2 linked regions of the Kluyveromyces lactis genome follow. The protein of the gene in region 2 binds, or shares a complex with, the protein of the main gene of each other region. Links are inferred from orthologs where the notes say so. Each region holds a gene or a part of one and is shown on either strand. Other genes may lie near its edges.

The links.
Region 1: RPP1A (region 2) and RPL30 share a complex: the UniProt entries of both Saccharomyces cerevisiae proteins name them as parts of the large ribosomal subunit. The link is inferred for Kluyveromyces lactis from reciprocal best matches to the Saccharomyces cerevisiae genes RPP1A and RPL30.

The regions. Positions count from the first base shown.
Region 1 is NC_006041.1:955,022-957,706, forward strand, and holds RPL30 (60S ribosomal protein eL30), read right to left. Parts: upstream 1,236-2,685; coding exon 1,233-1,235; intron 997-1,232; coding exon 682-996; downstream 1-681. Other genes in the region: GPC1 (glycerophosphocholine acyltransferase), read right to left, coding at 1-289; KLLA0_E10869g (60S ribosomal protein eL24), read left to right, coding at 2,466-2,685. UniProt on the Saccharomyces cerevisiae protein: Component of the ribosome, a large ribonucleoprotein complex responsible for the synthesis of proteins in the cell.
Region 2 is NC_006041.1:1,966,657-1,968,953, forward strand, and holds RPP1A (ribosomal protein P1), read right to left. Parts: upstream 980-2,297; coding exon 659-979; downstream 1-658. Other genes in the region: KLLA0_E22001g (60S ribosomal protein eL13), read left to right, coding at 1-201; SIP5 (Sip5p), read right to left, coding at 1,637-2,297. UniProt on the Saccharomyces cerevisiae protein: Component of the ribosome, a large ribonucleoprotein complex responsible for the synthesis of proteins in the cell.

The sequences.
Region 1 (2,685 bases), about 1.0 Mb from region 2:
ACAAAGTGAATGGATAAAACGATTTTTCAAGTGTTGAGCTATTTTGAAAGAAAATTGATTGTAAGGGCTTATCAATAGTTTTTAACTTCTTCAACGTCTTCTGCTTGAAATTGGCCAACTGAGGCGAAATTTCCTGATCTCTAAACTGGAGCTTCTGTTTACCATTGGTTAATTTCTGTTTGATGAATTGTTTCGAGGGCTGGCTGTAGGATTGGACAGTCGATGCGATAGGGTCCAAAAACTCAATGAACGTGGCCAACCGAGTTCTAAAAGACTGTTGGTCAGTCATCGCGATGCCTTTCGGTTAAGCAACCAGTTTCCTTAGCAAATAGTGTATCGAGATATGGGTCTGCACCTGAGATAACCAAGTGCTTTCCCCTTTGTCCCTTTGAGGTCCTTATTCGGTTCGTATATATTGTTGTTTATATACCTAGGCTTTGGAACAATTTCACATGCTCAAAGCAGTCACGTGAATAAGAAGTAGTTTCAAGTAACTGTTGCATATCCGATCTGCATGGAAGCTTTTAAGCTCAGAAGTGAAACTTGACCTGTATAATACTCATATTCTATTATAATGAAATAACGGCGAGTAAATATGGTTACATATTATACAAAATGAAAACAGTTGTTATAAATAGGAAAGAAACATTCTAAGATAGACTAGAGAGTTTTCTATCCTGTTTAAGCCAAAGCAGTCAAGATATCGGAGTCACCGGCATCCAAAATGGTAACGACACCGACTCTGAACAACTTACCGACAGCGGTACCCAATTCGTTGTTACCACCTTGGAAGTAGTAGACCTTGGTCTTGGACAACATGGCGTAGTATTCCAATTCAGACTTTCTCAAGACTGGGGTGTTGGCAGCGATGATGATCAACTTAGCCTTACCTTGTCTCAAAGACTTGACGGTAGACTTGTAACCCAAAGAGTACTTACCGGACTTAACGACTAAAGCCAACTTTTGGTTGATGTTTTCTTGGTTCTTAGCTGGGGCCTGAACAAATAGAAGAAGCAATTATATGCGAGGGTTTTCCCACATAATAAAAGTTTGAAAAACTGTTAGTAAAATGGTTCCAATTAAGAATCCAAGTAATGCAAAGAGGCCCTATTCCGAAAACGTCAAACGCCAAGCTTTAAACGAAAGTGAAGTCATTTCTTCTACCGTCGATGGGTTGCTTGTTTTATTAGATTCGATTCGGGCGACTAGCGCATAGAACAAAGTATACTGACCATCTCTGTGTATTTTAACTGGTGATATCTATCTGAACACTCCGGTCTGGTTTTTTAAGACTATAAATCAAGAGACGAGCATAAAATAGTAGAAGACAACGTCAAGATGTATAACAAGCTTTGTCTTATTTGTATCATTGAGAGATGAGAAACTGTTGAAACTTTTCAGTAAAGATGTGGAAAGTCTTGTGTGTGGTCTTATCCTGTCAGGGTAACAATAGGAGTGTTTGAGACTGTTTTCGTAACGAACAGAAAGTGGTGTACGGATGTAAACTTTGAATTTGCTTTGAAAACGGCGCGAATTACTGTATTAGGAAATGCATATTCTCACTTTTTTCCAATTTCAGTTCTTCCTGAGGGAAGGCTGCCTGGACAGGGGCAGTTCCCTCTGTCTGGCTAGCTTTCCAGCAAGGCCTCCCATTGGATCCACCCTCTAGGATGCTGGGAGAGGATTCCTAGGCAGACAGTCATACACTTCCCTCAGCAGCAATCCCACTCTGAACCAGACTCTCCAGCTCACGTCCCACCTGGCCACAGTGCTCCAATGGTCTGCTCATGCGCTGGACTCTGGACAGGAATGGTCCTGAGCCTAGGCTCAGAGCTAGGACCTGTTCCAGGCAGCTTGGCCTGTCTTCGACATTTCTCACAATTTAACAATTTTGGAATCAACAATTACAGAGAATAACAAGTTAATTAGTGTGTACAGGTCCAATTAAGACATATATACGTTTTAATAGAGGCCTTTGTTTAGATAGACCAAGCCAATCAAGTGAAAAAGTATGCACCATACGCCTCCATATACGACTGACACAAATATAGTACAGACCGCGTGTTGAGAAGAGAGTTCTGAATGAATGAACGAATGGATGAGAATACCGGAACGTTTGAAAGATTGAGTTTGAGAGTGAGGCCATTGCCAATATGATAGAATAATGGATAGAATAATGAACAGGATAAATTAACGTGCATGATTGATGTACCGTGATCGCACTAATTTTCTGAATTTGCGGTTAGACCAATATTTTAAATGATAGCCATCAGAACTTATGACATATTTTCACACTGTAAAGCCAATACAATGAACAGAGAAGGAAGATTAGGAATATACAGGTCTTTCACTCATAACGCTGCATACCAGTACTGTCATGTTGTTATACCGTTTGATATTTTCCAAAGCAAAAGATTTACTAACAAGTTAATAACGTTATCGCAAATTTGAATTACAGATAAGAAATGAAGGTCGAAATTGATTCCTTTTCCGGTGCTAAGATTTACCCAGGTAGAGGTACCTTGTTTGTCCGTGGTGACTCCAAGATCTTCAGATTCCAATCTTCCAAGTCCGCTTCTTTGTTCCACCAAAGAAAGAACCCAAGAAGAATTGCTTGGACTGTCTTGTACAGAAGACACCACAAGAAGGGTATCACTGAAGAAGTTGCCAGAAAGAGAACTAGAA
Region 2 (2,297 bases):
GAAGCTGAACAAACTTTGTCTGCTGCTGCCTCTTTCCCAATTGTCCAACCAGTTACTGACTCTGAAACCAGAGCTGTTGAAGACAACGGTGAATCTGCTTACAGAACTTTGAGATTGGCTAGATCCGACAAGAGATACAAGGGTATCAGAGAAAAGAGAGCTAAGGACAAGGCTGAAGCTGAAGCTGAAAAGAAGAAATAAGCAACTCCATACCTTTTATTCAAATACTAGACAAAACGTTGTTTTATTTTATAAATATCTTTTAATCAAATTATCTTTCCGTCATTAAGAATTAATGTCACCGCATCCCCTTTCTCAATAAGTTTCCTGTTTGGTAATTATGAGACATTGTCTACCGTGTAAAAAAACGTATAAACTATAATATTTTACATCTAATTCAAATTATCAGATTATCAATTTGTCTAATGATATTATGGAACCTTATACGATCCTACTTATATTTCAAAGTGTCACTAGTGATGAGATGCTTTGAAGATTGGACGTTTGTGTATTAAAAACGGTTGATTATATATACATATTTGTGTATACACTCAAATGATGTGTTATTTGATTCTCAAATTTAACGTAGTAAGTAGTAGCTTAATGCGCTAGTAATAAAAACAGAATTTATTCCTCCTATGTTAAAAGTTAACCTAATTTAATCGAACAAACCGAAACCCATGTCATCATCGGATTCTTCCTTGGCTTCTTCTTCCTTTTCTTCAGCAGCAGCTTCTTCGGCACCGGCAGCAGCACCACCAGTAGCAACTGGAGCAGCACCACCAGCACCAGCTTCGAACTTGACCAACAAGTCCTTGATGTTTTGCTTAGCCAAAGCCTTAGCAAAGATATCAGCCCAGATACCTTCAACTGGGACGTTGGCAGCTTCAGTCAAAGCCAACAACTTTTCAGAAGAGACTTCGATATCAGCATCAGCCAAGATCAAAGCAGCGTAAGACAAAGCAGTTTCAACAGACATTTCTAATGTAAAATTTCCTGGTTCTGGCAAGTGTAGAGATAATCAGATTAAGCTCGTAATGAAGCAGACTATTTCTTTGGTCCTTTGAAAATAAGAGAAACTAAATAATAAAACGATATAAGTAATAAGAATATTTCATAAAAGAAGCTTCAAATTGAACAAATGCCATCATGTGTAAAACAAATACTTTTCCTATCGAAATGTTAAATGGTTACTCCTGTAAGTTTTATTGATATTTCACATCTCATCGTGGAAAGGTGAAAAATTTCAGGAAAAGCTGCGTGGTTTCGTCAGGCATGATAATTCGTGTGATGTGATATAATGTTTCTGCATGAAACGCTGGATGTACAGAGTCAGCGTAGATGTACAAGGGAGAATCCCTGATATTGAGTCGGAGTGAGTCCGCAGATGGGTGCTATATTCCACATAATATTCTATGTTTTATAAACATATATATACTCGCGCGCAGTGTTACTGATGAGTGTACCTTGTATCTTAAGGTATGATGCGAAAGTTATGGGATTGTTAAAAGATGCATGCAAAGTGAAGTAATTTGCGAATGTGTTGATTGTATCTGTCGTTAGTCGTGAAGGTAATGAAGGAGACAGCAGTGCAGGAGAAAATGCTTTCAGTTCATGAAATAAGCTCCAAATTAGGTTAATGATCCTGCAAACTTAGTTTGATTGCTTGTTGGAGCATTTCGTCATCCAGTTCTTCTAATGTTTTCTGACGACGTTGAGGACTATTCCCTCCGTCAGGGCCTCCAACTGAAGAAGAAATGGATGCGTGTCTAGAAGGGTGTTCGGGATCAATTAATTGATTACTCATGTGTATTGCAGTAGCTTTTGCTGATCTTCTAGCGAGTCTTAATCTTTCTTTGGTTAGATTGATCTCCCAGTCAGGTCTTATAGAATCGGATGTTATCACAGACGGATCATCGGCTGCTATTGAGCCCCTACGAATTTGTTCTATAGTTACGAGTTCGTCATCTTCATTGCTGCTAGAATCCGATACTAGGCCTTCACGGTCCTTGTATTCGGCAATCTTGTATTCGGAAGCGTAGATCCCGTTGATTCCAGTCCGCACGTCCCTGCGCGGTTCGTATGTTACACCAAACTCTGCAGTGGCACAGTAAGGGCAATTGGCAGGTTCACTGACAAGAAGGTTGGGATCCTTCAATTCGTCCGGTTCTTGATCTTGAGTTGGATCTACCTCTTCATGCGGGAAGTGTGGTGCGGCACGCTTGATTTGGACGAAGCATTCAGTACAGATCGGTTGCTTGCAACATCTGGAAATATTCAAAGGCTTAGGAAAGTAG